2 linked regions of the Diceros bicornis minor genome follow. The protein of the gene in region 2 interacts with the protein of the main gene of each other region in a biochemical or structural test. Links are inferred from orthologs where the notes say so. Each region holds a gene or a part of one and is shown on either strand. Other genes may lie near its edges.

The links. The genes of interacting proteins can lie anywhere in the genome.
Region 1: the proteins of ERBB3 (region 2) and BCAR3 form a complex in vitro, tested with the Homo sapiens proteins (2 studies listed by BioGRID and IntAct, with this or other methods). The link is inferred for Diceros bicornis minor from reciprocal best matches to the Homo sapiens genes ERBB3 and BCAR3.

Annotation. Positions count from the first base shown.
Region 1 is NC_080743.1:29,778,694-29,788,627, forward strand, and holds the start of BCAR3 (breast cancer anti-estrogen resistance protein 3), read right to left. Parts: upstream 5,886-9,934; 5' UTR 5,705-5,885; intron 1-5,704. UniProt on the Homo sapiens protein: Acts as an adapter protein downstream of several growth factor receptors to promote cell proliferation, migration, and redistribution of actin fibers.
Region 2 is NC_080756.1:12,679,048-12,688,981, forward strand, and holds the start of ERBB3 (receptor tyrosine-protein kinase erbB-3), read right to left. Parts: upstream 5,382-9,934; 5' UTR 5,159-5,381; coding exon 5,077-5,158; intron 4,830-5,076; exon of another isoform or gene 4,749-4,829; intron 1,633-4,748; coding exon 1,481-1,632; intron 923-1,480; coding exon 736-922; intron 29-735; coding exon 1-28. UniProt on the Homo sapiens protein: Tyrosine-protein kinase that plays an essential role as cell surface receptor for neuregulins.

The sequences.
Region 1 (9,934 bases), on a different chromosome or scaffold from region 2:
ACCTGCACTGTACTTGAGCACCCCCGATGGGCTCATGGAAGGCTAAACATAGCGCCCGTCAGAGCCTTCACCTCTCCCCTCCTCCACAGACGGATACAAACAGAAGCCAAGGGACGGTGGCACCTCACACATCCCGCAGTGTTCGGCAGCGACTCGACGCGCTCCCTGCAAGGCCGGCAAATATTTTGATAGTCTTTCCCTCCAGGATTCTCCTGTGGAGAACAATCGGACACAGTCGGGAGTGAGCTTCCAGCAGATTCCACAGGAAGAAACATTACATCAGTGGAGGGGAGTTTGACTCCCAGGACTTGTGGGAAGGGAAACAGATTCGGAGGCAGGGACTGCCAGATGTCTACCGTGCCCCTCAGCCCCCAGTGTGGGGCAGGGATGAGGGGAGCCCTAAGTGGACAGAGTCCAGTGGGAGCCAGACAGGGTGGTGGGTAAAAGCGCAGTCTTCGGAGTTAGCCAGACCTGGGCTTTAGGACCAACTCTGCCACCTGAGGCTGTGTGACCTCAGGCAGCTTGCTTTGTCTCTCTCTGGTCTTCAGTTTCCCCACTGTAAAATGGGGATAATAAGAGTACACGCCTCTTGGACTGGCCCTTGAGAATTAGACGCAGTAACGTCAGGGAAGCCTTGAGCCCAGGGCCTGGCTCATGCAGGTGCCGAATAACCATAAACACATTGTCCTCATGAGATCCTTCACTTTCCTTGAAATGAGCTCATGGGGTGTGTTCTCCAGTCACTGGTCTCCTTTACTGAACTTCCCTTAGGGGCCTCAGGCCCCTCACCTGACCCAAAATGTGCCTTCAGGAGAGAAGGGACAGCCCTGAGTGACGGGCCGCCCCATGGCCACAAGTTCCCTCCAGTGGAATGGAAATTCCAGGGCCCATCCCGGCAGACAACCATCTCTCCACACGTCAGCTCGCTGGGCAATGAGAAAAGCCGCACAGATCCCTGGCATGGGACATCTCTTCACAAAGGCATATTATTTTGAAAAAGATAAAACAAATATTTACGAAAAGCGAAATAATATAAAGCCATTGGAACAAAAACAGACCCGGTGCAGACCGAGCAGCACGTGGTAGAGAGTGGGTCAGGCAGGACCACAGGGGGCCTGTTTGACATGGTGGCTTTTTTGCCCTCCTCACGCCGCTTTCTGGCCCCAGCCCCAGGGCCTTTTTCGGAAAATGAATTTGCCTGTACTTTTGGTGTCTAGAGGCCCCACAGGACACGGAGGATTGCCCTGGGGCCCCACATTCTCCTGGTGACTCACCAGTCAGGCAGTGGGTACCCGAGGCAGAAGAGCCACTTCCTGTGACCCTGAGCCACCAGGTCCAACCGATACCGGCCCAACAGCTGCCTTCTCCTCTGAGAGCACTTGAGTCACCCTCAGGAGCAGGGCGGGACCTGGCCCAGTGCAGGGCTGGGTGAGCGTTGCTGAAGAACCAGGCCATGCATGAACGTGTGTTTGGGGTGAGATGCGGGGTGGACACACTGCTTTATCCACCAAGGAAACCTAATCTTCCTAAAGGTATTGACCCATGCCACCTGAACTGCAGGAGGGATGTTCTCATGGTGGAAAGTCTTGGGGCCAACACATGTCCTCTTGACACATCCCACCCCCACACGTATCCACACCACTCCAGCAGATCCCTTCCTGGAGCCGCACCCCTGCTAATACTTCCTTTACAGCGTCCAAGAGTCCTGTTTGATGTTATGAGAAGAAAATGTGTGTCTAGGTGCAGGGGTGAGTGTGGGTGTGTCTAGGGGTGTGTGTGGGGTATTCATGTAGGGAGGGAGAATGTTGACAAGAAATCCAAGCAGACGGGCCAGACAGAAGTCTTAAAAACAACCGCAGCCCAACTGTCTCCTCTCTGTGCCCCCAACTTATCAGCTCAGGCCCAGGTTCAGGGGAGGTCCGTGGCCAGCTTTGCACAGCAGCTGACCTGGTTCCCAGACCAGCTACCTGGCTTTGAGCAACAGAAGTGCCTACATGGCCACCAGGTCCTGCAGTAAATCCACGGAGTCCTTGGGCTCAGGCCTAGATCCCGCGTGGTGGGGACAACAATGTGCCCTGTCCCTGATTTGACTCTGCTGCTCCAGTCACAGAGCTCCCTCAGGGGCAGATGTGAAGCCAAAATACTTCATTAAGACTGGAGGTCACATAACAGCCCCGGCCCTCTTTGGACACTGCACGCTGGCCAGTGGCATGGAACGAACCAGGTCCCAGCCCTCCCAGGAGCCCCGGGCATCATATTTCAATGCACTTCTGCTTTAGCTACTCCCACAGAAAGGAGAGGGCTTGCTCCCCTCCGTGTTTTTAATTTCAAGAATACTGCAACCCCCTGGGGAATACTCATGTTTTCGTTACAGTCAGAGTGGCGGCTACCACACGCTTCAGACCTGATCCCAGTCGAGCTCAGAGCTGTGGTCTCCGGGAAGCAGGTGAACAGGCCTGGAGACCAGCGAAGGGATTCTGCCGTCTGTGGTGCGGGGCTGGCGGAGGAGGGCGGCGCCAGATGGAAGAGCACGCGTGCCCCGCCGTAGCACAAAGACGGCTGCTTAGAAGTCACGAGGAAATGAAATTGTGCTTGGGTCAAGCCCTCCGTTAGTTGCCAGAGGGGAGGTAGATTATATATACCTCTGTGTGGTGAGGGATGTTATTTGGAGAAATGAAGAATACATTCATAAAATAGGAAAACTACTTTTTAAAGTTATTCACTTTTGGGGCCGGCCCCGTGGCTTAGTGGTTAAGTGTGCGTGCTCCGCTGCTGGCGGCCCGGGTTCGGATCCCGGGCGCGCACCGACGCACCGCTTCTCCGGCCATGCTGAGGCCACGTCCCACGTACAGCAACTAGAAGGATGTGCAACTATGACATACAACTATCTACTGGGGCTTTGGGGGAAAAATAAATAAATAAATAAAATTATAAAAAAAAAATAAAGTTATTCACTTTTAAAGATCAGCTTTGTGTGTGTGTGTGTGTGTGCTAGAGCGTTTTAAAAAGTGAAACATCTCTGCAGGCTTTTCAATTATATACAATCATACACCGCATAACAACATTTTGATCAATGTTGGACCGCATATACAATGGTGGTCCCATAAGATCAGTACCATACAGCCTAGGTATCTAGTAGTAGGCTATACCACCTAGGTTTGTGTACGTACATTCTAGGATGTTTGCACAATGATAAAATGGCCTAAAAACACATTTCTCATAATGTATCCCTATCGTTAAGCAACACATGACTGTACACATATAATGATAATATATATTATATTTATATAACGCATTATAGTTTACAAAGTACTTTTATATGCCCATTCATTCATTCAACAAACCTTCATGAGCCCTTACAAAAATCCAGATACTTCTTAGGCCTGACTGAGAGGACACAGTGGTGAACAAGGCAGATAAGACCCTCACTTCCATTGAGCTCACTCTCTAGTTGGGGAGACAGACCATAAACAGCAGACAATGAATCAGCAAGATAAGTTCACGGAGCAACAAGTGCTTTGAAGATCATAACGTCAGGTAAGAGGCTAGAGCTGCACTGTCCAATATGGTAGCCATTAACCCCATTTGGTTATTTAAATTTAAGTCTAAATTAATTAAAATTAAATAAAATCAAACATTTAGTTCTTCAGTTCACACTAGCCACATTTCAAGTGCTGAATAGGCACATGTGGCTAGTGGCTAGTAGAATAGACATAGAATACTTACATCATTGCAGAAATTTCTAGAATAGCAATGAGAGTGACTTGGGGCTAATTTAGATTGGGTGGTCAGGGAAGGCCTCTCTGAGGAGGTGCCTTGAGTGGAAACCCCCAAAAGAGAAGAAACCAACAGCTCATGGACTTGGGTGGGGAGGGAGTGGACAGAGTCTCAGGCACTCTAGAGCAAATGTCCAAATGTAGGCATGAGTTTGGCAAATTTGAGGAACAGAAAGAAGGTTGGTGTGACTGGAGCGTAATGAGCTGGGGAGTGTGGAGAGTGGAGAACGATGAGGTCAAAAGTAGTAATAAAAACAGCTGGCGGCGGTTGAGTGCTTACTATGTGCCAGGTATCTACAAGGTTGGTACTACTGTGCTCCTTTTACAAATGAGAACACTTAGACACAGAGAAGTAGACACGCTTAGCCGAAGTCACACAGCTAGTGAGGGGACAGAGCCGGGATTTCAACTGGGCGGTATGAGCATGGAGTGCTTAGCCGCTGTGCTGCACTGCCTCTGCAAGGAGACAGGGGCTGTGTTGTGGACGCCCTGCGAGGAGCGGGGACCCTACCTGGGTGTGATAGGAAGTCACTGCAATTTTTTAGGCAGGAGAGTGACCTGATCTATGGCACTTGTAAGTGATCGATCTGCTCATAGTGGGAGAATAGATTGTAGAAGGTCAAGTGAGGGGCTGCCTCACTAATCCAGGGAACAACATCACTGTGGCTCCGACTAGGATAGCAGCAACTCTTTGTTCTTATTTTGTACAGCCTATCAGACATTACACTTGTACTTTTGATGGTTTATCTTCAAGGATTTTGGCAGATAAAACAATGCATCTTTTCTTTTCTAAAAAATCTCCGAAACTCTATAGACACACCCCAACAATCACTTAGCAATAGGAAAGCCGGTTTCTGCCCGTCTTACCTAATTCCACTTGCAGCATCTATTCTATATTCTTCAGATGGTTATTAAATTAAGCCAACGATCTCCCTAAACTGGGAAGTTGGTTCCGGTTCCACCCAGGGTTGTTTCCACAGCTAGGGGAAGGGGGCAGAGTCTTGACCCCAGTGGGACCCCAGGGTGTGGGTTTTACGTGTGGAAGAGAACATCGTGGGCGATGCAGTCTTTAAGCATCGACCTTGAGCATGTAGAGGGGCAGGTTTCAGGACTGCAGTGACAACCATGGCTCCCCAGACCAATTTAGCCCGTGACATTGACGTTGGATGTGGTGTTCGGGTTCTCAGAGGCAAACTGACAGACCCCTCCAGGGAAAAAGGCATGAATGTTATTTCACATAAATCTTCTCCAGACTCCTGCAAACGCTTGCCTAAGGTGCTTATATAAAATGCAACTTCTAACTGCCTCGAGCCCTTAATGCTCTCCCTCATCAAACTGCTATTGTTCCTTCAGACCTTCTCTTCCCAGAAGGGATGGTTCCTCTTCCAGCCACAGCTACCTTCTGAGGCCCAGAGTGTGGTGTCCGGTTTTGGGACACAGGTTCAAGTCAAGGTCACAACCCTGCAGTGCTCTCCACACCTGACACCCTTTCCCCTACGTCAGGTTATCCAATCTCTCTGTGGCTGCGCTCTTCGTCACTAAAACGAGGATAATTATTGTTAAGTATTGATCCACCTCATAGCACTGTTGTGAGAATTAAGTTAGAATTAAATAAGACAGAACAATTATCATCGTTAGCTGTTGCATCGTATTATCATTACTGGAAGGGAGAGGACAGGAAAACATGTGGCCAAGTCCAAACCCTCGTCTCAAGGCCACCACGGATAAGGATCCAGAATCACCCGGGAAACAGCTGCCCTGGAGCCTCTGCGCGTTAGTCCGAGGATTCTCCTAAGCTCCAGGTGCTGCCCCACAAGTCACTCGATGGGCTTCATCACCACCACCCCCAGCCCCGGCCACAGCATCTGCTGGCTCAGCATTGCCCTACGCTCTGGGCCAGAGCAGCAGCCGGCCAGACTGCTTCCTACCTTGCCTGTCCCCTGCCTCCCGAGGCTGGCTTCGGTCAGATGCGGTAGCTCCTAGGGGCGCCTGCGAAGGAAAGAGGCCTTCTCAGTTTGGTGTAAGGAAGTTAGGATAGTGCAGGCAAGGCTGGGGCCACTTTCCGTGGTTCTGCCGGAGGGCGAGGAACCTGGGCCTCAGGCTGGCTGGACCTGGGTCTGCGGCCTCTCCTGGCATTGCCCTCCCGGGGCTGCAGAGCTAACATCGCCCAGCCTGCCCAAATGATTCTCCGCCTGTTGTCTCAACAGCTGACGATTTAATTCTAAGTAACAGTGACTCACAGGGCAGCAGTTCCCTTTTTTGCCAGAGCAGTCTTATGTAGATTAAGCCTTCCTCCCAGGTAAAGGAAGGTCTTTACTTTTCAGCAAAGCCAGAGGGAGGCGGGCAGTGTTGTGATTAGGAGCACAGATTTAGAGCCAAATTGTCTGAGTTTGAATCTGGCTCCACCACTTACAAAGTGGTGTGGGCTTGGACAAGTTGTTTAACCTCTCCCTGCCTCAGGTTCCTCATCTGCAAAATGGGAATAATAATAGTACTTACTGCATAGAGTTCTCATCAGGGTAAATGAGTTAACATCTATACAGAGCTCAGAGCCAAGCCTGGCACATTGTAAGAGCTTATATCAGTGTTTGATAGGTAAATGGCCAATAATGGGGAATTGGTTCTATATAATGGAATAGTACATAGCCTATTAAAATCCCTATCATAGAAGAATAGTAATATGGAAATACATTTACGATCTATTAGTAAGTGAAACAATGGACTCTAAAACAAACGACAGTGTACTATTATTGTTGAAAAAAAGAAAATAAATCTTTATACATTGAAAAATACACTAAAAGTATATACACCAAAAGGGTGTTTTTCTGTCTTCTAAAATTTCTGTGTTCTGTGTTACTTTAGTAATAAAAAACAATAAGAAAACAATAAAAATTATTCAGTAATAAAAACAATAACAATTATTCAAATGTAGTAGATGTGCATAATCCATATTAAACAATCATGCTTTAAAATGATGATGATGATAATAATGGTCTGACTGTCCCTAAGCCTAGATCATTCAGAGCTGAGGCTGCGAGGTGATCACCACCATATGCTTTAATGATTAGCCAAATGTTATCATCAAAAAGAAAAAATAATAATATTACATGATTATATGGATATGACACACTATTTTCCTTCTGGGGGTAATCAAAAGCTAACCATACCAACACAGCCAGATTTAAATCTTCCTTAAGCAACAGGTGACCACATATGTGAACTAAACAAAGAAGCAAATGGCACTGTGTACAAGCAATGAATTGAGTGTGCTTTGCAAGGTGGTGAGTGAAGGGGGTGTCTCAAAAGTTGCGTGCATAGACAGGAGGAGTGGGGTGGGGAAGCATTCCTCCAGCCATTGAGTCAGAGGTTTCAAGAAGGAAACAGAACTGCAGTGGCTGCTAAAATAAAGGAAGGAGATAAGCATCTCCTTCTACTGCTCACTTGTGTAGAACTTGAATGGAGAAAAGAATAAGTCAAGAACTACCTCTGAACCCTGACCTTCAGGAATGAGCAGACTTCTCTGTCAACAAGCTACTTCTTACTCTGCTCCCGGGTCTTAGAAAACAATTGAAATCCCAAACACGCTGCATGTGGGCTCTGATGGATGGGACTAATGTTAAATTGAACCCTCTGTGTATCAAAGAACAGGTGGTAGGATGAAATCCAAAACTGTCTTAACCTCACTTCCAAGGTGCCTCGTCTGACTTTGCCTGCTTTTCTCATTAACACTCAGTCTCATGAACCCCTTTCCCAAATCCAAGCAAAAGTGGGTCCTTTGCGAGTTGTCATGACCTTGTTCATCTCCATATTTTTAGCTTATAAATTCTCTCCCCAGCATTCTGTTACTCTCAGAAGATGTGAAGAGCTTTGAAAGAAAAACAAAATTATAGTTGCAAATTCTGAAATTGTGCTGGCTGAATGAAACTTTTGACTGACAGAAACTGGTTTCAGTTCCCCCTTCAATCTTTTCAAATCTTACCATCATAAAGTCCCTCGTGTTACTGACCCTATCGACAAACCTCATTGACATCCACATGGAAAAGATCATTGCAATAATCTCCCAAACACCTGAACTGGCTGGAATTGCTTCTTTCTTTCCAAAGAACCATGAGGTCCTGGGCTGCCTGGGCCCCTCCCAGGGCTGTGCCCAGTGCACAGGCAGGAGGAGGTTGGCAGGCTGTTATGTTTTTCAGCAAAACAGCCGACAGTGATTAGAACACTCAGATGCTTTCTGTTGATGCTTGTGGGGGATCAGCTTCTAAGCTTTGGACTTGTAAAAACAGGGGTCACAGATTTTGTATCAGGAGAATTGATTGCACATTTGAAGAAGCAATGAAAAGAATCACTAGGAGAAGTGCCACAGTATCCTGAAAAAAATCCTCACTGTGTTTAGAGAAGGGAGGGCCCAGGAGCCCAGATGAAGTCAGAGCTTTTTCCCTTCCAAGGGAGCATCTGGTTCAAAGCTGCAAAGAAGAAAGGAAGGGGGTGTCCACAGGCCTCTTGAGTGGAGCGCCCCTAACTGCTAGGGCACATGTTTTAACACCAGGGCTTCTTGGAGGTGGGGGTGTCTCCCTCGTCCTTTCCGTAGGACCTGGTTTCTGACCCCAAGAGTGGGAGAGGCTACACTGATTTACAGCCGCCTTTCTCCCCCTTCTTTCCGATCCTCCCAGTCTGCGGTCTGTTCAAAGCACACTCAAGGGAAAGAGACGCCAATGAATCTGCCTACCTGGGAAGTGGTTTTCAGCAAGCACTGACATTCTGACACACACTTTGTCTTAAAATGGGTCCCTTATGCTTCAGTGGAGCGGGGCTGTGATCTGTGCAGGTGTTTCCAGTGGCTCCCAGAACACAGAGCCCTCTCTCTCAGTGTAGGCGACACTGTATAAGGATGTCGTCAGCTACTAGCGTTAGATTAGGATTGACAGCGGTGAGTGCTCAACAGGCAGCCGTGCTCTCAATTCTCCCCTAGAACAGCAAGAAGGAGGGAGGGGACTATCTCTGGACTAGAGATGGAGAGATAAAGAAGAAGGCAGTTTAGATGGAAAAGCTGTTGTGTTTTTAAAAAATTCTCTTTATCATTTATAGATTTTAGATTGGTGGGAAAAACTCTTTATCTGATCAATGCAACCCTTCTCTGTAAGGACAGGAGTTTTGTTCCTATACCATTATCTTGGTGCAATCTATTTCCTCGATGGAACATCATGTAATTCTTTTACATCTCTTTCTCAAATATATATTTTTTAAAACAAGAAAAAACATGTTATCTTTCCGTAATCAAGTCAAAATGAATAGATCTGTTCAATGCTGCGTTTTCTTTGCTTTCTCCCTGCAAAGCTGTTTTGGGAAACATTCATATCTTGAGACTCTTTTTCACTAGACAAAAAAGGTTCGGCCAGCTTGACCAAATTCACGAGGGAACGAAGTAAGAGTCCAGGTGCCCCAGTATTTTTAAAACAGTATAAATCCATTCCTGGTGGGACAGGGGTGAAAGGGTGAATGATGAGAACCAAGCGAGTCTGGCTAAGGTGTAGCCTCCTTCCCCGCACCCGTGCCCCTGTTTCTGTCTTTGCACCTGCTGGAGGGGCCAGTCCGGGAAGCCAGGCAAGCATAGCTATGCTGTGCTGGCGTAGCTGGGCTGGAGAAGCCTTCCCCCTGCTGGGCCAGGTGTTTGCCACCTCTTCTTTGCCCCTGGAAGAGTACTTTTGAGCAGGGAGAACTAAAACCCCAAAGTCACTAATTTGGAGAGATCTTATCTCAGCAGGGCTAATCAGAGAACTCTGTGTAGAGCCTGAAGAGCCCGCTGAGCTCTGCCCCCCAGGCAAGCACATTTCCAGCATTCAAGCTGTGATTCTCACCACTCTTCTAAAGGATGGATGTTACGGTTGAGAATTCCCTGAAGCCGGCAGCCCTTCCACAAGTCACGGCAGTCCCGCGCGATGGCTGTGAATTCAAATCCCTGAGCCGTGACTGCTTTCCTGCTCCGCGTTAGCTGCTCCCCTAATCCCACTCATCTCCCGCTCTCAAGCTGTTTATTGTCAGTTGAAGTGGCTGTTCCATTCCTTGAACCCTTAACACAGTGTTTCATGACTGAGTTTCCCAGGCTTTCCAAACACCAGTGTCTCTAAGAGCCTCCTACTCCCTCTTTACGCCTCCAACTC
Region 2 (9,934 bases):
TCAATATAAACACCCCCTGACAGAATCTCTGAGGTAGAGAAGAAAAGTGACAGGGTTAAGGGCTACAGCAGACCTCCTCTTCCTTACCTCCCCACCAGTCCAAACGGACACCCGAGACTCAGGAGCAAGGGAAACGGGCCGACAGGTAGGTCCACTTAAATCCAAACTGCAGAGAAAGCTCGCCTCATGAGATGGAGGAGGAGCCAAGCCAAAAGAAACTCCTGCCTCCTCAGACACCTGTCCAGATCCGGTTTAGCCAGTGGGGGAGGGGAAGGGAAAGAAGGAGAGAAGATCCCTGACTCACCCTCCCACCCTACGTGTGTGTTTTCCAACTGACTGGGACAGGTAGAAATAGAAGGTGGCCAGGTGGTATTTAACCCCTATATTCCTTCAGCTTGTGGAGAACTGTGAGGGAGGAGGAGGTAGGATTCCCATTCCCAGGGAGGAGGGACATCAAGGGACACTGTATTCTGAAGTTAGAGGAATGGGTGACAGATCTAGCTCCAACTCCAGCCCCACCAGCACATAAGGACCCTCCCCCTGGGGCAGACACCCCAGCTCCCTCCTGGGGCCCTCTATTATTTCAGGAGCAGTGGACCTTTAGACCACAGTGGTCAAAGTGGTGGGCACCTTGCAAGGGGCACTTAGAGTGAGCAGTCTTGGGTCATCATCAAGGAGGTGCCTGCCAGCAGGCTGGCTGAGGGGCAAGGCCAAAGGGAACCATCAGGAACTGACCAGTGAGCTGAGTGAAGCGGAGCTGGCGCAGCGCATGGCTGGAATTGGTGTTGTAGTTCAACATGACAAAGATAGCAAACTTCCCATCGTAGACCTGAGTCCCCCGCACCACCCGGAGGTTGGGCAGTGGCAGTGTGGAGAACTCATTCATGGCCACGAGGACATAGCCGGTCACTTCTCGGATCCACTGTGATAGAGGAGACCGTGTCAGTGAAAGGAACAGCAGGGCAAAAAGTCTCAATCCCTCTCCCTCCCTAAGGCGTTAAGGAATCCCTAACTCCTCTAATTCTTTCTAATTCCTATTTTGGAGTAGAGTGTAGACAGTGTCACACTACTGTGTCCCTTCTGCAAGTAAAGACAGGGAGCAGAAATGATGGAGGAATTCTAGCCTCCTACCCTTTCCTGCTCAGAGCTCCTCATGCCAGAGGGCCCTTGCATAGACCCTTCCTCATCTCCCCAGGTGCCTCTCAGTCCTCAGATGTGTCTCTACATTAGTGCCTGGTGTGGAACACCACCTGCCCCTGCCCCCTTCTCATGACCAGCCCCTCTCCATCCCTGGAACAGCGACCAGACCATAGTCCCAGATTCCAGTCATTGTCCCATAAACACACAGGTTTGGATCTTAGCAACTATGGAGTCTTAGGAACGCTGAACTCCAGCAGAGGGTAGCCCCAAGGAAGGGAAGGAGGCTTCTGGAGGGTTGACAAGGGGGAACAGGTTGAGGAAGGGGGCTGGGCACTCTAACCTGCAGAAAGGAGAGGTCAGCATTGTGTCCTGTGAGCACAATCTCCAGGTTCCCCATCACCACCTCACACCGCTCGTAGAGCTTGTGCAGCGTCTGGTATTGGTTCTCAGCATCGCCAGTCACACTCAGCCCATTCAGAGTCCCAGGACACACTGTTCAAAGTAGAGGTAAGAGGGGCAGAGGGCTGCACACAAGTTTCCAAGGCCACCCCTTTGGCCACCCTCTTCCAGTAACATTCAACAGCCTCAGAAGGCAGCTGCCTCCAACCCTCACCCCTACAGAGAGACACAAAGGCCCATGTTGGACTGAGAGCCTGAACTTCCTCTTCTCTCAGAATCCCCTCACCATTCCTCTGAACAGGAAGGTGAAAGGTTTCCTTTTTCCACCAGGACCTCCTCTGTGTCTCTTTCAGGTACTAAGAGGTTAATCTAGGAGGATGTAGGTTTTTTCCCCCTCCCTAAAAAGAAGTTTTAGAAAACGACCAGGACTTGGTTCCCCCCCTCTTCCCCTCCCCTACTCCAACCAGGGCACTTACTTCTCTACTCCCATCCTGCCTCTCTGGATCTGGGAATAAATATCTCTTTGGGGCTAGCACACAGCCCCTATTGTGTCTACTGAGGGTGGGATGGGGGCAGAGGGTGGGGGCACTGCCTGGGGCCACAGTCCAGCCCACAATGAGGCGATTCTATCTAGGAGGAGGGGTCTGCCCCACCCTGTCCCCAGACACCCTGTCCTCAGCAGTACCCCCCCTCTACGCTTAAGCCTTGGGCTCAGACAAGTGACCTCACCAGAGGGGGGAGCTCTGGTGGTGGTGGTGGTGGGGTCAATGTGAGCTTTGTCTTCAAAGCTAGAAGATAAAGAGCTGGTTGCCTACCCTGTCCCCCCTTCCTAAACCCTGGCTTCCCTTCTCACTCCCTTCCCCTATCCCAACACACTCCAGCTCCCTCAGCATCACACTTTCCAGCCCAAGAGTATTTTTCAGCAAATACAAAGAAGCCTGGAGGGAAACAGCAGCAGACTCCCCCCATTCTGAGCCTTCCACTCAATTTCATTGTCAGAAGAGATTCATTAAAAAGCCCTCCAACATGGCAACCCCCACTCACGTCGGGGGAGTGCCTAGACTTGAGGTTCATGAGGGGTGTCAGTCTTGGGGGTTCACTTTACCTTGTAAGTATGGAGAACATAGGGGCTATGGGAAATCTTGGACCCTGAACTCCTATCCCTGTCTCTTTCCTCTGGCTCAGTGAAAGACTATGGGTTGGGGGGGAGATACCACCTGTTCCAACCACCCTTCCCTGAGGCGGTGGAGCTCAGTGGGAGGCAGGAGTGGAAATGGAGGGAGATTGGTGAGGCCCCAATGTCTCCTAGATACACCCCTAGTCTGACCACTTGACTTTTGAGGGCTCTCATTCGCCATCACTCCCCCACAAAGGGAAAGGGGTGGGCTAGACCCAGCAGAGGGGTAAAGGGGTAAAGCAACCAGAGGAGCCTAGGAACTCCAGGGTCCTTTGGCTGAAAAGAAAGAGGCTAGGAAGGTTAGTCATTTCTGGAACAGCCCCACCCCAACCCCCTTCCTGGCAGGACACCCCCTCTTCCAAGTCAAGGCGCCAACTCTTCTCCCTAGATAAGGGAGGAGCCAAGATTTCTGCAGAAGGAAGTGGTGTGTGTGTATGTGTACATGCACGCACTCAAGACACACACACACATACAGAGGAACATGTACATAGCTCCCTTGCTGGCCCAGAAATCTAGACTGGTTCTGTCCTTGGGTTTCCTTAATGGGAAGTATTTCAGGTGACCCTATCCATCTCACCTGCCCATATATGTTTGGGCAGACTTGGTGTCTGTGCTTGGAAGGCTACAGTGTTAGAGGTCCCAGTTCCCTGCCACCCTGAGGGTAAAGTCCGTATTACACAAACAGGGAGCAAAGGGCCTGGGCGGGAAGGGAGTAAGAACAACACCTCTGAGGAGGAACCCAGCAGCTTGGGGAGGAAGGCAGGGGGAAGGGAGTTATAAAAATCCCTGCTGTACTCAGGGACCAGGGGCATAGGGAGGGGCAGTGTCACAGGCCCTCATTTGGTAGAGAGCACTGGGGTGGGTCAGAGCAAGAATCTCCAGCCCCTCCTCAACCAGAGGCCTCCTCTCCAACATCCCCCACCCCCATCACAGCCAGGACAAAGGGGCTATAGAAGGACCGAGACAGGGCCGGATGCCCAGAGGCTGCAGGATCCAGATAAAGGGTAAAGAGACCCAACCATGCCTGCCTCCTGGCGCCCTATGGGAAGGTGGCCAGGATCTGGGACTCCTGGGTTCCTGGTTGAAGATTCCAGGGGTCTGGATGGGACAGTGATACAGTCACTCTACTCGGTCCCTCCCACTCCAGTCCCCAGACCCCCGCCCTCCACCAGCTGGGAGTGTTCACATCTCAAGATCCCAGGGTCTAAATTTAGGCCCAGCAACTGTGGGGGAAGCACAGGTGTTTCTCCCACTCCCACCCTGGGGAAGGGGCCCTGGCTGTGACAAACCCCAAGCTGAGATCTTGGGGGGAAGGGAAAAGATCAACAGGATTCCTCCAATGCCAGCAATACCAGCACCCCTCAGGTGTCCATTGTCCCAGAGATGCCCCAAAGGGGGAGGGGGCTCATATGGCATGGGAGTGGGAGGAGGAATAGAAGAGCAATCTGACTTTAGTCCAGAGTCCTAGAGACAGTCAAACAATAAACAGAATGGGGGTGGGTGAGAAGCTGGGTCTAGGAAGGACTCCCCAGGACAGGAGGCTCAGAAGGTGGGAGAGATGCCCTGTTGATCCTCGGGTTGGGGAGAGAAAAGACAGAGAGAAGGCTGGAAGTCCTTTACTCTACAGTTCCCGGCCCAGGGTCTTGTACATAGTAGATGCTCAATAAATACTCGTTGAATTGATCTGGATCTTGACAAAGAGAGGTTGGTCAAGTCGGGGACCAACTAGCTTTATTATTTTGAGGGAAAGAGGGCAGTCAGTCTCTGCGTGGCCTCTCACCCTGATGTTACCTGGACGTGGCCCTCTGGTTAATTTCAGCCCTCCCCAGGGCAGGCCCACTCACGGAAGAGGAGGTGCCGTTCTTGTTTTTCCAGCACCAGAGAACAACAACCCCCTCCAACCCTTCCATAGCTCCGCCCTGTCGGCAAAACAACGAAACTGGCGGGTGCTGAAACCAGGGGGAGCAGGGCATTGGGGAGCAAACTGAGACACCCCCCCCCCCGTTCAGCCAAGCTCTCCACCTCCAATCACCTCCTCAAGTTTGCAGAATGGAGGTCCCAGCTCCCCTCCCGGCAGGGCCCCTCATAAGTGTGAACTGTTTGGGCACCAGCCCTATCCGGAGAGACAAATTCGAGGGTCAGCGACGCGCTGGGGAGGAGGAGGTGGTGGTGGTCCAGGAATGCCGTCCCCGCCCGGACCACGCCGAGAACCCCAGCGTCGCAGTGCCCGCCCAGGTGGTCCCAGCGGACCCAGGGTCAGCACCCCGAGCGTCACACTGCGGGAGCCCCTGCCCTCCAGGGCTCCGCGTCCTCGGTTCGGACCCCAGGGTCCGAGCTGCCCGTGCTCCCGCGCCGCTTACCTGCCTGCGAGTTGCCCACCTCGGAGCCCCGGGCCAGGCTGAGAAGGAAGCCCAGCACCTGCAGAGCCCGGTTCGCCCTCATAACGCTAGCGGAGGGTGAGGGGAGCCCAGCCGAATCCGGCCCGGGGGGCCCCTGGACTAGGACATCGAAGCGGAGCCACCTGAGCCGCCAGCGAATTGGTAGCGGCGGCAGAGGAGGTTACACACTGCAACCGGAGCCGGAGCCAGAGTCCGGGGCGGGATGGCAGGGGAGGGTGTGTGTCTGCGAGCGCGGAGGAGGGAGGCAGGGGGAGGGGGTGAGTCACGGCCGCGCCCCCTCCGGCGCGAGGCTGGATAGGGATTGCCGCCGCCTCCGACGGCCCGCCCCGCGCGCCCCACGCCCCACTGCCCCGCGACTTGGCCCAGCAGATCCAGGATGGGTCTCCCCCTAATTTTCTTCAGGAGCTGGACTAAGGGAACGTAAAGATTCCAAACGCCCCAAATGCCTCCGAAGGAGAAAGGTAATGGGGGTGGGGAGAGCGCGCGAAAGCCCAGCCCTCGGAAAGTTGGCCTCGCCCATTAACCAAATCACTCAACTCCCCTAGCCGGTTGGGTCACTTGGGGGATTTTGTCTTCGAATGTGGATGTTTTTCTCTGTGTGTGTTTTTGAGGGGGAGGGTATTTTTGCCTCACGCTCAGGCCACCTCAGTTTCCCCGGAAACCCCTCGAAACCCCATAACTCATCCACCCTGCCGAGGAACCTGAGCCCCAGAGGCCGCGTGAAATTGCACTGTCTCCGGCCGCTTCCTCCTCCAGACCGGCGCCGGCCCGGCCTCTCCCGGGGATTTGGTTGGGGGGCGGGGGTGGTTTCCAGCCTGGGAACAGACCCCGAAGCCCGCCTTTCCACTTCCACCCCGGGAGGGGCTCCCGCACCTGTCGCCGTCCCCTCTGCTGCCCCCCACGGCCGCCTGGGAGAACAGCTGCCTCCCCTTCCACGCTGGAGTCTGACCGCGCCGTCGGGGCGGCTGGAGTTCCCGCCGCTGTTCTGCGGACCCAGATGGGCACACCGTCCCCACCACAGGCGCTCACACCTTCCCAGGCGCCTTCCGAGCCTCGGCTCGCGCTGGAAAGGGGGAAGGGGCACTAGAGACTGCGTCCACTAATGACGTGGACCCCTGACACCTCAGCACCAGCTCCTGGATCCTGGCCCGAGGTGGTCGGGTGCACGGCGAGTGGCTGCCCCAAACCCTGCCGGCCTCCGAACGGATCCGACGGGCGCCCTCTGGTGCCCAACGGGCGGCAGTGAGGCCCCTCACGGCGTTGCATTTCTAATCTCTTAAATTGGCATTCTGGATCTCGCCCAGAGAGCCTAATTATTTTCCCCAGAGTTTCAAGCCTGAAAACTTCAATAACAGTTAAGCCTCGATGAAGAAAAATTTCGCCTCTCACTCCGAACCAAGACTGCGGGCTAAAATTCTTTAAACTTTCTCCGTACTGATATGCACTCTAGAAGCCCATTCTCTGCTGGAGGCTACCTTTGCCCCTGGGGCGTTGGCCTTGCCTTGACCACTTGCATAACAGTTGAAATAGTAATAGCAACCAGGAAACATTAACATATACATACATATACCACCTCACTTGCAAGCGTTGCCTCAAACTTAGAGAATGTTTCACTTACAAAAACTATGTGAGCTAGGTGACATCACTCTCCATTTTACAGAACTGGAAATGCATGACTTCGCCAAGGTCATCCTCTTGGTGACAGTGGATGATCAGGAGAAGGGGTGCAGGTTTTTACCTAGGTTTTCTTTTTTGTGTGTGTGAGGAAGATCAGCCCTGAGCTAACATCCATGCCAATCCTCTTTTAGCTGAGGAAGACTGGCCCTGAGCTAACATCCATGTCCATCTTCCTCTACTTTATATGGGACGCATGGCTCGACAAGCAGTGCGACAGTGCGCGCCCGGGATCGGAGCTGGCGAACCCCCAGCCAAGGCAGCGGAGCGGGGGCACTTAACCGCTTGCGCCACCAGGCCGGCCCCTTTGCCTAGGATTTCTTTTTTTTTTAAATAAATTTATTTATTTATTTATTCCCCCAAAGCCCCAGTAGATAGCTGTATGTCATAGCTGCACACCCTTCTAGTTGCTGTATGTGGGACGCGGCCTCAGCACAGCGGGAGAAGCGGCACCTCGTGCACGCCGAGGATCCGAACCCTGGCCGCCAGCAGCGGAGCGCGTGCACTTAAACGCTGAGCCACGGCGCCGGCCCCTACCTAGGATTTCTTATGTCCCACTGAGACTGGAGCTTCATCTGCTCAGAATCAAACTCCCACCAGATAACTGAGCTAACACCACTTCAGGGGCCTTTCATTTGATTACTCATCCACCTCACACTAGTGTTCAAGGCCCTGGTTCTGAAGGAGGAAACCCTCCTTAGTTTCCTTGTTTGTAGAACAGTTGTGTTTACTTATAAGTTTGTTGTTTGGATTTCATAAGAAAAAGCAGGTAGAGCTCTTCTTTACCTCATTGTGCTTGACCTTTAAGAAGCATTCCATGAATACTAGCAGTATTTCTTCCTGTGATCACCAACTCCACCCCTCCCCTCCCCAACTAGATCCCAGGGTGTGCTTGCTGGTATCCATTCTTCAATACATCATGCTAAGCATCAGGGTTATAAACACTGGATAAAGCCGACAAGTAAGGGGCCGTCTCTGTTGGGTGCTGCCCTGATTGAATAAAGGAAGGGAGAGAGGCTTTATTTACCAAAGCTCTCTGCAGTTATCCACCATCCCTTTATCTTTCCTTACTCTTAGCTGATAACTTGGGTTCTTATTCTACTGTGAAAATAAAAGTAATCAAAAGAAAACATCCTTATCTTTCTACCACCAATCTGGCCAATTTACCTCCATCCTCACTTCTATACTTTGACTTCCGTCTTGTTACAATGAACGGTCCTTGCTGCTCTTTAAGCCAACTGTCACTCCCCCAACCCTCACCCCCACCCCCATCCTCAGTGCTACACCTCAGTCCATTCCTTCTTGCCTTTCTCCTGCATTATCCGTTTTCTCCTCTATTATCAATTTTCCTCTCTACTAGATCATTCCTGTTCGCATACAAACGTGCTGTCCTATCTGCCACCTTAAAAAAATAAAACAAAACAAATTAACCTTCTTTGACCCCATGGCCTTCTAGTCCTTTGCTCCTAACTACTGCCAGATCCCTATACTTTATTTGTTCACTATCCAATGACTGCCTCCAGCTTCCTGCCATCGCGAGCTATGCTGCAGAATATCCTCCTACCTGTCTCCTTTGGTTCTGTGATCATTTCTCGTGCATATTGAGCTCCACACTCTCTGGACTATCACATCATCAATAGTGGGATTTCTATATCCACACTTCCTTGTCAATACTTGACATTATTCAAGTGTCCAATTTTTCAATTTGCCATGAATTCAAAATGATATCTCATTGTATTTCTTTAATTCTTTTTTTAACGAAATTTTTTTTTCTTTTTTTTTTTTTGTGAGGAAGATCAGCCCTGAGCTAACATCCATGCTAATCCTCCTCTTTTTTTTTTGCTGAGGAAGACCAGCTCTGAGCTAACATCTATTGCCAATCCTCCTCCTTTTATTTTTTTCCCCAAAGCCCCAGTAGATAGTTGTATGTCATAGTTGCATATTCTTCTAGTTGCTGTATGTGGGATCCAGCCTCAGCATGGCCAGAGAAGCTGTGCGTCAGTGCGTGCCGGGGATCTGAACCCGGGCCCGCCAGTAGCGGAGCGCGTGCACTTAACCGCTAAGCCACGTGCGGCCCTCTTTAATTCTTAATATTTGAGCATCTTCTCAAACTTTTTCTTACTTTTGGTTTTTCTCTTTTATGAATTGCCTATTCATTTTCCTTTGCCAATTTTTTAATAGGGATTCTCATATTTATTATATTGGTTTGCAGCAGTTTATTGTATATTTCAGATATTAGACCTTCATTGACTTTAGACATTGCAAATATCTCTTCCCAATTTTCATCATTAACTCTGTAAATAATATTATTTATTGAACAGAAATCCTTAATTTTGGTATAATCTAATTAATTGATTTTACTTCTTATGGTTTGTGATCTTGATATTTTTAAAGACTTTCTTCCCCACGCTTGCAGCACATTTATTGAGATATAATTGATACACAATAAACTGCACATATTTAAAGTCTACACTTTGCTGAGTTTTGACATACATATATAACCATAACCACAATCAAGATAACAAACATATCCATCACCTGGGAAAGTTTCCTCATGTCCTTTGGTAATCTCTCCTTCCTCATCCCCATAATCTCCCCCATAATCTCCCATAATCCCCATACACATGCCCCACCCTAGCATGTGTATATACAGTTGTTCCAGCACCATTTTTTTTAAACTATTTATTTATTTATTTATTTATTTCCCCCAAAGCCCCAGTAGATAGTTGTATGTCATAGTTGCACATCCTTCCAGTTGCTGTATGTGGGATACGGCCTCAGCATGGCCTGAAAAGCGGTGCGTCAGCGCACACCGGGGATCCAAACCCGGGCCGCCAGCAGTGGAGCGCGGGCACTTAACCGCTAAGCCACGGGGCCGGCCCTAGCACCATTTGTTGATAGAAGTAGATTTTTAATACTAAAAAATACTAGCACTACATAAAAATGGACATTTGTTTTTAGTTATTTTTAGGGGAGAAAATTTCAGGGGAGGTATTTTACATACAGAATCCTTTGAATTGGACCTTGTCAAATAAATATTTAGAAGAGGTAAAAGGTATATGCCAAGTAAGTTTCATATAATATAAAATCCCTGCAAAAGTGATTAATGCAAAAAACAAACAAAAACACACACACACAATTAGAA